Linked DNA regions of Macaca fascicularis. The protein of the gene in region 3 purifies or fractionates together with the protein of the main gene of each other region. This does not show direct contact. Links are inferred from orthologs where the notes say so. Each region holds a gene or a part of one and is shown on either strand. Other genes may lie near its edges.

Region 1 (4,326 bases), on a different chromosome or scaffold from region 3:
TTTGTCAATCTTCATGTGTTAAGTGGTCCAAGTTCAGCATGGAATTGTGTTACCGAACAAAGCCTACAACTGTCATGATGGTAACTTGTTGGGGTGGGGGTTAAAGGCTACTATAATATCAAAACTCTGTCAAAATTTGTACCATTGTGTAATATATGGTATAGGTTCCGACCAAGGCAAAGCACTTAGCTGTTTCCCAACAGAAGAGTTTGAGATAATGAAAGAAAGGAGATACATGGAAAGAAAGAGATGAAGAAAAACAAATTTTCATTAAGCATCTGATTGTATCTTCAAAATGATGACAACCAATGATAGAGGAGTGACAAAGTTTACTTAAAAGACGAAACGTATTTCTGAACACAAAGCAATAAAAGACAATACAATTCTAGAGTAATACTCAGACACTCACTTTTCTAAATCACTATTCACAAGTGAAATCCAAACAAAAAGTCCCCTAGACATTTACTAATCGTATCCTCAAATTGGCAGTCACATGAAATTCAGGAGAAAAAAATATCCAATTCAAAATATAAGGAGCTTGTTCTTTAAGAGAAAGCACTCACTGGCTAGTGGTTACTACTAAAAGAAACCGAACTGATTAAACTTTTCATCCCACTCTACGAAAGCTGCAGAGTCATCATATGCCTGGTCGGATGGAGTGTGCAGCTGTCTCCCTGTACTCCATTTCACTGAAAGGGAGCGATCAGGAACAGAGAAACAGGAAGGCCAGAATCTGTTCTAAGGCGTCTATTTCCACAGCTGGAGACAGGGTACTTACTATTCTATATACAGCATCCCCGGCTTGGACACTCAAGTGGACAGTGTTAAATTGCACGGCATGCCATCTGACCATTAATGAGTCCCCGTCAGTTTCCCCTAGCCTTGGGCCATAACCCAGTTGTTTTAAAAACACATCTCTTAGTATCTCAGTAGTGTCACTTGTGGGACAGTAATGTCGCTATGCCACAAGTGACACTACTCTCGTTCAGTATTACTTAATGGGACAAAAAAATAAAAAACAACAAAAAAACCCAAAGCGAATTATATAACAACGACTGACCTGACCCCCTCAGCAAAAAGGCCATGACAAATAATCATATTTCACCAAACTTTACATTCACCTTCTTTAACTATTAAGAGACGAAACTCAGGTCCTTTGCAATATCCTCACCTTTCCGAGAACTGATTGTTTTTAAAGTATTGTCGCAGGTTATATTTGCAAGCAGCTTTTTAAATGCATTTCCACCATCAACATGTTGGGGCACTGACTTGGTTTTTGGCAGATTAAAGTAATAAATTTTATTCAAAATTCTTCTATTCAGAAAAATAAAAGCAGGGGGAAGGTATTCTGCTTGGATTTCCCAAACAGACAAAGTTGGTTGACTTTGAGGACCTACAGAAGACATTTGCAGAAATGGTGTTTTGCGCACCAAACTCTGGACCACAAATCATCGTGCCAGAACTCGGCCAAACATTCAGATCCGCTGGCCTGAAGCAGGGAAACTCCCGGGACAGAGGGTGAGGTTTATTTTGGTTACGCCGCAGAGTAAGCATCGAAGTTGAAATCAGTAAACACATGTAAACAAGCCGTGAACTTACCGTGGCGTCAGCTCCCGTGGAAACAGGGCTTTTGGCGCTTTTCTCCTCGGGATTCTGGGGAGCTTCTTCCGGCCCCCGGGTTACAAGAATTCTAAAATGCTGCTGCCCCGCGTTCTGATCCTGCCTGATCTTAAATGTGCACCCCTGGCCCTGCGGAGTCCTCTCTGCGGAGTTCGTCCTGCGGATTTCGGGAGCCATCCTGCCAGCCCGAGGCGGTGCCTCCGGGGCTCCCCGATCTTCCGTGGGGCTCCCTCTTTCGCTTCGGGGCTGCGTGGGGTACGAGGTGCTCCTCTCCAGCCGAATGCGGGGATACCTCACCAACCTGTCCCCCTTTGTGCCCGTGAAGCCAAAGTTGAGGTCACTGCCTGACCCCAGAGCGCCTTGCTGGGGCTGCTGCAACTGGAAGACAAAACACCGCTTCCCGGAGCTTCCAGAAGCATCTGGAACGTGCTGCAGGGACCAGCGCCTGGGCTCTGCCGCCGCTGGGCCGCCCTGGCCATCCGGGCCGAGGGGCAGCAGCCTCACCTGGCGCACGTCGGCGCTGGAGGCGCGGTGCTGGATGCGCAGGCCCGGGGCAGCCTCCTCGGGGCAGTCCACCGGGCCAGGGCACCGCACGCGGCGGCGGCCGCCGCACGTGCCGTTGACCTGGAGCCCCGGGTCCCGGGCTGCCCTCGGAGGGGAGTTCCCGGGGGTGTCCCTCGGCGAGGGCTCCCGGGAACCGCTCTGGGGCGAGGCCCTCGTGGTGGCGGTGGCGGTGGCGGTGGCGGAGGCCTGGTCCCCGGGGTCCGGCGTGGTGCACGGAGGCCCATCGTCGGCGCCCTCGGGCGGCCCGCACCCATCCGTGGCCCCGTCCGCGGCCTTGCGCTGCAGGGAGATCTGCACCGAGGAGCTGCACGTGGGGCGGGCGTCGATGCTGGTCAGGAGCTGCGGGATGAACATGGACGAGCTCCGCTTGAGCGCGCCCACGCCTCCCTGCAGGCCTCCGTCGCCATCCTCCCCTACGTTCTGGGCGAAGGGGTGCGGGCTGTTCCTCCGTGGTAGGGTGTGGAATGCCATGAAGAAGTCGTCTTCTCTCTCCTGGTCTAGGATCTCTGATTCGGGGGCTGTGTTGCTGCGACCAGAGCCAAAATGAAACCGAAGCCGATGGGCCATGGTGACCAGGGGGGCCAGGAGGGCGAGGGCGAGCGGCAACAACAGGCCCGGCACTGCCAGAAGTCACAAACCAAAGACACAAACTCCAAGAAAAAGTGTCCCATCTGCCAAACTGTTAGCACTGCGGCACCAGGAGCGACAGATAGCAGAAATAACCCAAGTGGCAAGCGGCATTCCAGGCATGATTGGATAAGAGCAAAAAGCTCTCATCCACACTGTGACAGAGGGTAGGGTGGCCAGAACCACATGACCGCGCTCTCCCCCTCCAATGCCAGCTTCTGGACTTAGAGGAGTTTTCCCCCACTCGCTTTTTTTTTAAACGGCAAGAGCCTGAAACAGCACCTTCCCAGCTGCTGCTTTTCCATCAGAAAGGAGTGGCCCCAGCAGGGCGCTCTCACAGCTGACTAAGGCAGCAAACACACTGCAAGCCACGCTGCTATAAATCTAAACCACATCACATTCACAGGGCATTTCTTTCCCAATGGAGCACAGCGCTGGGACTCTGTCTAACCTGTGCAGGGACCTGGCATGTTTAACAGCACACACGGTATTTCCCCACCTCCCACCACACATGGAATAACGACAAGTAAAATATGGCTTGGCCACCGGGTAAACCCCTTCCCAAGCATTGGATACCATGTTTCTGTTATTTATGACATCACTACACTACCAGGATGGAATGCAAACTAATAAAACAGTACTATAAATACGATTACACACCCCACAGAGTTAGTGTCCGTTTAATGCTAAATAATTAGACCAGGATCTACAAGTAACAAAATAGCTAAAGGGAGGGGAGGGAGCGCGACGTGCTACACACCCAGTTGGCCTCCTGCTATCACAGCATTTTTCATTTAAAAGGTGTATACGTGTGTGTAGCTCACACATGACTGGCAGACACCAAAGTACCAGAGAAAAGGAACCCAGCTGGAGAAAACATTGTCTCCCATATGCCAGGTAGGAAAGAAAACGTCAACGAAAAAACAAACAATAACAACAAAAAACAAAAGGAAAATTGAAGAAGGGAGTGCATGTGGATTTTTTTTGTGTGTGGTAATAATTTAACTTAAATACCATGCAGAAGAAATGCTGCCTAGAGCTGACTGCTCTCCAGTACGAAGTCAGCAATATTACCACAGTTGGGACACAAATATGGAATCTTGCCATGTTTGCAAAGGACCAAAAAAGACTTAAGAAATGGAAGGAAAGGTGCACAGTCGAAAAACTGTCCTCAGATTTGTAGTTAGCTTGGAAATATGCTGTATTTTAAACTCACTATTTTCTATGATCCAGAAACACCAATTAGTTAACAAAGAGGTTTATTTAGAGGGGGTGAAAAAATAGGAGGGGAAAATACCAAGCTGCAAGAGTGACAAAAAGTTTATTTTAAAATCTGCAAAGCATGACTTTGTCAATAGCCCTAGCATCCAGGGTGTGGTGGATTAACCCTGTGTTTACATACATCCAAATCTGTTTTCTAAAAGCATGTGTTTTAAATGCCAAAAATGACCTCTAGAGAGAAATGGAAGCTAGTCTGTGTAATGCTAGAACTTCCAAGTACTACCATAGCCACAT
Region 2 (3,648 bases), on a different chromosome or scaffold from region 3:
TTCCATTCGATTCTTAGAAGGTATCGACCTTTTTAAATTTTTTATTTTATTTTTATTTTTTTGAGATGGAGTCTTGCTCTTTCACCCAGGCTGGAGCGCAGTGGCGCTATCTTGGCTCACTGCAAGCTCCGCCTCCCGGGTTTACGCCATTCTCCTGCCTCAGCCTCCCGAGTAGCTGGGACTACAGGCGCCCACCACCACGTCTGGCTAATTTTTTGTATTTTTAGTAGAGACGGGGTTTCACCGTGTTCGCCAACATGGCGTGTTGGCCAGGATGGTCTGGATCTCCTGACCTCGTGATCCACCCACCTCAGCCTCCCAAAGTGCTGGGATTACAGGCATGAGCCACCGCGCCCAGCCTACATTTTAATAATAATATTAATTATAGCTGATAAAGAACGACTATATCCAAAAATACAAAATATTTGAGATAGCCAAGTTAGATGGGTTAACATTTCTATACACTTACAGGTAAAGGCCCTAGATCACTGGAAGTATCAAGTGATGTCTTTCCTCTCAGATGGGCTGGAATTTTCAATCTTGGATCTTCCTTTTTTGGTAGAGTAAATAAAGAACAATACACACACACACATTTTAAAATAATGAAAGTCAGTCTGTTACCATGTTTTCTAGCATCAATGGATATTTAAAATATCCTCTTGTAAAAGTCAATTTATACTTTATTTCCTAAATATGTGACATAATATTTTCTCCTTCTAAAATCTATCACTCTCAGGCTATAAGATCAAAAGGAATAAGGAGCAGTTCTCAGGGATCACCACTAACTGGTAATCTCTTTTGCCCCACGCTTTAGGAAATGTGTCACATACGGCTTTTCTCTATGTAAAAACTGGTGAAAGAGTGGGACATTAAATTGGACCACATGATATTTCTTTCATTGATTTTTTTTGAGATGGAGTTTCACTCTTGTCACCCAGGCTGGAATGCAATGGCACCATCTCAGCTCACTGCAACCTCTGCCTCCCAGGTTCCAGGGATTCTCCTGCCTCAGTCTCCTGGGTAGCTGGGATTACAGGCATGCACTACCATGCCCGGCTAATTTTTGTATTTTTAGTAGAGATGGGGTTTCACCATGTTGGCCAGGCTAGTCTTGAACTCCTGACCTCAGATGGTCCACTCACCTTGGCCTCCCCAAGTGCTGAGATTACAGGCGTAAGCCACCGTGCCCGGCCCTGGACCACATGATATTTCTAAGCCCCAGAACATGCATTTTGCCAGCTATCTGTTCAAGGGTTGATTAATATTTTTGAATAACAGGAAGGTAAGCCCAAAAACGTTATCAAAGGCCAATTCAGAATGTTAAAAAAGAGAACAAAATTCAATTTATTTGGTTTAATTTACATATATTACCTTAATAGTATTAATTTATTAAATAATTTTAGTATTATTTAAGCTATGTTGGTCTTTTAATAATTAATCAAAATCTATTCATCAGCTGCTAATTTTAAGTAATTTTTCTTTTTATTTATTTATTTTTTTGAGATGGAGTCTCGCTCTGTTGCCCAGGCTGGAGTGCAGTGGCACGATCCCAGCTCACTGCAAGCTCCACCTCCTGGGTTCATGCCATTCTCCAGCCTCAGTCTCCCAAGCAGCTGGGACTACAGGTACCCACCACCATGCCTAATTTTTTTGTATTTTTAGTAGAAACAAGGTTTCACCATGTTAGCCAGGATGGTCTTGATCTCCTGACCCTGTGATCTGCCCCCCTCAGCCTCCCAAAGCACGTGAGTCACTGTACCCAGCCTTTAAGTAATTTTTCTGTTAGTAGTAAGCCAAGCACTAAACAACTTTAAGACTTATCTTGAAATAAAAATACTTGTTCTACCTAGCCTCACAAGGTTTTTCTGATATTAAATGAGATATGGATTCAAAAGTGCTTTAGAGCTATAAAGCCTCATATAAAAGCAAAGGGTTATTCCTATATATCTTCCTAAGCATTTGTGGCCAGTGAGCTAAAAACTGGAAATAGGAAGTAAACATGAATATCTCCGTAACCCAAAACAATATTAAAAAGAGGCATAAGCATTCTCTTGAATACATATAATATTATTAAGAATTCAATATATCTTTCAATGAATATTAGGAAACACAGGTTATAGAAATACACACTTAAAGATTGTAAGGAACTATACATAAGAGATGATTATTGTTGTTATACATTTAGATGGAAGAGTGTCAAAGTTACCCAGGTGGTGGTTTTAGTGTTGTGGTCAATAAAGAAAGGCCTCCCATTTGGCGCATGTCGGACTTCCCAGCCTTTAGGAAGGAATCCTTGCTCAATTTCAGATGGCTGGGTCACCTGCTGGCTTGAATCACTGGTGGAGGCTTGTGATTGAGGGCCCGCAGAACTCTGGCTTGATGTCAGCTGACTGGTCTCCACTGTGGCCTAGCACATTAATGAAATCATACTGTAATATTTTATAGAGAGAAAACTCACAAATAGATGCAGTTAAAAAGGTAACCTAACCTGCAAATAGAATACACACCCTCCATTAAAGAGATTCTACATATTTGAGGCTCATTTTCAAATGTAGTTATGGCATATTAATATTTTCCCAACATTTTAATAATGCATTACATTTAATAACATTTAATAACACTTTTCCAATACATTATTTTGTATAACTTTATTTTTACAGTAATTTATAATTTCTCAACTCATTCTCAAGCAGTAAGATGGTAGTTAACAGTCTGCTGTGGGTGCATCTGATTGAAGGAGCGAGGTCCACAAGCGCAAGTCCTAGCTGCAAGGGGAGCTCTGGTGCCTATGGGAGGAAGTCGTCTTTGTTTTCCCAAAACTCATAGGATGGGGAATTCCTCATACACAGATGTAGATTCAAATGTTGGGCAGACAAAATGAATGGCAAATATCTACCACAGAAATGGATAAGTGAAATGTAACATATTCATGACGGAATATTAGTAGTTAAGAGAAATACACTGGATCTATAAATAACAATATAGACAGAGCTTTAAAACAATGTTAAGCAAAAAAAGGTGTAGACTTATGGGGCAAAGTTTTTTTTAATTGAGCAGCACCTCATTCTGTAAAATAAAATGAGTGTTCTCTCATTGCAAAATTAGAAACACAGGCATATAAACAATATTTTACATTTTCTTTTCTTTTTTTTTTTTTTGGAGACGGAGTTTTGCTCTGTTGCCCAGGCTGGAGTACAGGGGCGCAATCTTGGCTCACTGCAAGCTCCACCTCCCAGGTTCGATCAATTCTCCGGCCTCAGCCTCCCAAGTAGCTGGGATTACAGGCATGTGCCACCATGCCCGGCTAATTTTATTTTACATTTTTAAAGCTCTTTATGTAAGTATATAAAAAAGGCTAAAAGAATACACAAGAAATTCAAGATGGTGGTTCCCCCTGGGGAATGGGACCAAGAGCTTGGCTAAAAGGAATTTAGCTTAATCTATAAGACTCTATTTTTAAAAATAAAATGTCTGGAAATTAATATGGTAACTTGTTAATGATGGTAATTCTGAGTGTAAAGAATATGTGCATTTGCTATATTATTCTCTGCACTTTTCAGTGCTAAAATATTTCTCAACAAGAGACACGGTGGTAAGAGAAAATAAATATTTTGCTAAACACTTACAAGGAAATATTATAGATGAAAC
Region 3 (3,648 bases):
CCCTGAGGTGGGCCTTATTGCCCCGCCCCCCCGTCTATAGATGAGGAACCGAAGCACAGAGAGGTAAAGTCATTTGCCCATGGCCACACAGCTAGTGAGAGGCAGGATTTGAACCCACTCTACCATGTTTAAGGAAGGAACAAAGGGAGGGAAACAAAGGCTGCCTCAATTTGTAAAGCCAGATTGGCAGAGGCCAATACTCAGTGTAAGTTTCTATTCCTCTATAATTCCAGCACTTTGGGAGGTCAAGGCGGGAGGATTGCTTGGGTCCAGGAGTTTAAGACCAGCCTGGGCAGCATAGTAAAACACCCGCTTCCACACACACACACACACAAAAAATTTTTAACTAGCTGGGTATGGTGGCACACACCTGTGGTCCCAGATACTCAGGAGGCTGAAGTGGGAGGATTGCATGAGCCCAGGAGGTCAAAGCTGCAGAGAGCTACGATCGTACCACTGCACTCCTGCCTGGGCAACACAGCAAGACTCAGTCTCACACAAAACAAAACAAGGAAGTTTCTATTCTGTCCTTTCCCTGATTTCAAAGATAAAAATTTGTTTTAATACAAATATCCAGAGGCAATGGACTCTTTTTTTTTTTTTTTTTTTTTTTTTTTTAGCATTTTCTGCCCATGGAATGAAAACAACAGCAGAGTCCTGTGGGCAAGAGGGGGAATCAGGTGCCCAGAAAGCTGTTTTGTCTCCTTCCTTCCTTATTTAACACATGACCTCGAGGAAGTTAACTACACTCTCCGGGACTCTGAGCCTCTTACTGAAGTTAGGAAGAGAAATATTGTTCCTTTTCAACCTCAAGTCACCAAAGGACAATGTGGAGGAATGTGTTGGTTGCATGAGGCTCCTGAAAGTCACAAACATCGGTTCCTTCAAGGAAAAGAATGGAGCCCCTTGGGGTTTTCTGAGTGGCTCACGTGGCCAGGAATAAGGAAGCTACTTTTACCTGCTTGGTGGGAAACAAAAAATTGATTGTGTTTCCTCAGATTTTTCTCCCAGAACAGAAACTATTATCTCTTTAAACATAATACCCTGGGTGCAGACATAAATATTTACATAATTCCCGCGCATGGGCAACGGGAAAAATACTTTGGGTCATAAAAGGATAAGAAGTTTTGAAGCGATTCCTATGAAGAATTTTAATGCACAGATTGTTTAAAGCTTCCCTCGGGCTCCAGCAAACATTATTATTTAGGTCATGAAATTCTAGAAGAAAAGGAACCCCTGAGGGTATTGCCCTACACACAGCTGGAAGCAGCTGTGAAGCTTGTCCCCACGCGCAGATAAGCAAGAAGAAAAGACGGAAGACCAATTTCTGGGGACTGATAGAGCAGTAGGGATGACTTGGCCTCCCAGGGGGTATTTTTGGTCAGAAGTGGGGAGCGTAGTGCTCCTGGCATCAAGCGAGTGGGGGCCAAGGATGCTATTCAATATCCTACAATGCACAGGACACCCCCTACAATCAAGAAATGTCTTGGGCCAGGCATGGTGACCCATGCCTGTAATCCCAGCACTTTGGCAGGCTGAGGCGGGCAGATCACCTGAGGTCAGGAGTTCGAGACCAGCCTGGCCAACATGGTGAGACCCTATCTCTACTAAAAATACAAAATATTAGCCGGGCGTGGCGGTGCACACTTGTAATCCCAGCTACTAGGGAGGCTGAGGCAGGACAATCGCTTGAACCCGGGGAGCAGAGGTTACAGTGAGCCGGGATCACGCCACTGCACTCCAGCCTGGGCAACAGAGTGAGAATCCGTCACAAAAAAAGAAAGAACTGTGTTAGGCCAGGCACAGTGGCTCACACCTGTAATCCCAGCACTTTGGGAGGCCGAGGCGTGCAGATCACCTAAGGTCAGGAGTTTGAGGCCAGCCTGGCCAAGATGGTGAAACCCCGACTCTATTAAAAATAAGCTGGGCGTGGTTGTGTACCCCTATAATCCCAGCTACGCAGGAGGCTGAGGCAGGAGAATCGTTTGAACCTGAGCAGTGGGGGTTGCAGAGAGCCGAGACTGCCCCACTGTACTCCAGCCTGGGTGACAGAGTGAGACTCCATCTCAAAAGAAACCAACACAAATGTCTGGCCTGAATGCCAAGCATGGTGCGGTTGAGAACCCACCCCGCCGCCAGCACCCGGAGAGAAGGGCAGGAGGGCTTGGGGCCAAGTGGGAGGCAGACTCACCCCAGCAGGCACAGGCTCCCGCAGGACAGCCAGGTCAGGGCACCGGCATTATAGGACAGCTGACTCACGATCATCTTGTTGCAGGAGGGACAACACATTTGAACAGGGCGGTCCAGAAAGGAGATGGGGTGCTGCACATAGACCGTCTGCACGGTAACTGATGAAAGGGAGAGGGACAAACACAGGCTGCTCAGGAAACAAGGCCACTAGCATTCACAACAGGACAAAGAGAGGAACGCAGGGATGCCAGCAAATACTATAATTGTACATCCGTGTTCATAGCATGCGTTCGTCATTTGGCTACCTATGAGAGCCAAAAGGGGAAGGAACACAAGTGTCCATTGATGGACCAATGAATTAACACAGCGAGGTTTCTCCATCCACCAGAATATGATTCAGCCTCAAAAAACAGGAGGACCGGGCGCAGTGGCTCATGTCTATAATCCCAACACTTTGGGAGGCCGAGGTGGGAGGATTGCTTGAGCCTAGGAGTTCGAGATCAGCCTAGGCAACATGACAAGACCTCATCTCTACAAAAAACTATAAAAATTAGCCCGGCGTGGTGGTGCATGCCTGTAGTCCCAGCTACTCAGGAGGCTGAGGTGAGTCAAGGGGATCACTTGAGTCTGAGACATTGAGGCTGCAGTCAATCATGACTGCGCCACTGCACTCCAGTCTGGGCAACAAAGTGAGATTCAGTCTCAAAAATAAATAAATAAATCTTAACCAGCCTCACACTGTGCCTAGCAGCCCTCGATAAACAATCCACTCTTTTTACACAGACCCTTTGATAAACTCTGACACCCAATGATAAGGGTAGAGTTTACCAAGCCAGGAAATGCAGGTCTACTCTATAAGACAATAAGCTCGTGAACTGTGTTGATACAAGAAATGAAAATATGAAATAATGCTCGGAAGAAAAAGCTATGTGAAACCATGTTTGAACATTCACAAGAATCAGAAGAGAATCCATTCCGGGTGCAGTGGCTCACACCTGTAATCCTAGCAAATCCCTTGGCTTTCGGAGGCCGAGGCAGGTGAATCACCAGAGGTCAGGAGACCAGCCTGGCCAACATGGTGAAACCCTGTTTCAAAAGACAAAAATTAGCCAGGCATGGTGGCACGCGCCTGTAGTCCCAGCTACTTGGGAGGCTGAGGCAGGAGAATCATTTGAACCCGGGAGACAGAGGTTGCAGTGAGCTGAGATCACGCCACTGCACTCCAGCTTGGGCAACAGAACAAACTCTATCTCAAAAAAAAAAAAGAGAATCCAGGGTGATGACAATCATTAAGCACTTCAGTTGTTAAGCTCATATTTTTGTCAAAGCAACTTCCTTCTGTTCCTTTTTACGTTGTTAGAATGCCATTTATGTAACAAATGGATTAGGAGAATATTACTACCTAGAGTTAACTGAACTTAGTAATACTCACAGATAAGACCCTCCTTCCAGAAAAGT

The links.
Region 1: the proteins of LITAF (region 3) and NEDD4L purify together in Homo sapiens (affinity purification with western blotting; 3 studies listed by BioGRID and IntAct, counting the BioPlex papers as one, with this or other methods). This does not show direct contact. The link is inferred for Macaca fascicularis from reciprocal best matches to the Homo sapiens genes LITAF and NEDD4L.
Region 2: the proteins of LITAF (region 3) and NEDD4 purify together in Homo sapiens (co-immunoprecipitation; 4 studies listed by BioGRID and IntAct, counting the BioPlex papers as one, with this or other methods). This does not show direct contact. The link is inferred for Macaca fascicularis from reciprocal best matches to the Homo sapiens genes LITAF and NEDD4.

Annotation. Positions count from the first base shown.
Region 1 is NC_088392.1:22,722,417-22,726,742, forward strand, and holds the start of NEDD4L (E3 ubiquitin-protein ligase NEDD4-like), read right to left. Parts: upstream 2,877-4,326; 5' UTR 2,752-2,876; coding exon 1,600-2,751; intron 1-1,599. UniProt on the Homo sapiens protein: E3 ubiquitin-protein ligase that mediates the polyubiquitination of lysine and cysteine residues on target proteins and is thereby implicated in the regulation of various signaling pathways including autophagy, innate immunity or DNA repair.
Region 2 is NC_088381.1:32,304,365-32,308,012, forward strand, and holds part of NEDD4 (E3 ubiquitin-protein ligase NEDD4), read right to left. Parts: intron 2,408-3,648; coding exon 2,207-2,407; intron 551-2,206; coding exon 470-550; intron 1-469. UniProt on the Homo sapiens protein: E3 ubiquitin-protein ligase which accepts ubiquitin from an E2 ubiquitin-conjugating enzyme in the form of a thioester and then directly transfers the ubiquitin to targeted substrates. Specifically ubiquitinates 'Lys-63' in target proteins.
Region 3 is NC_088394.1:12,238,522-12,242,169, forward strand, and holds part of LITAF (lipopolysaccharide-induced tumor necrosis factor-alpha factor), read right to left. Parts: intron 2,349-3,648; coding exon 2,192-2,348; intron 1-2,191.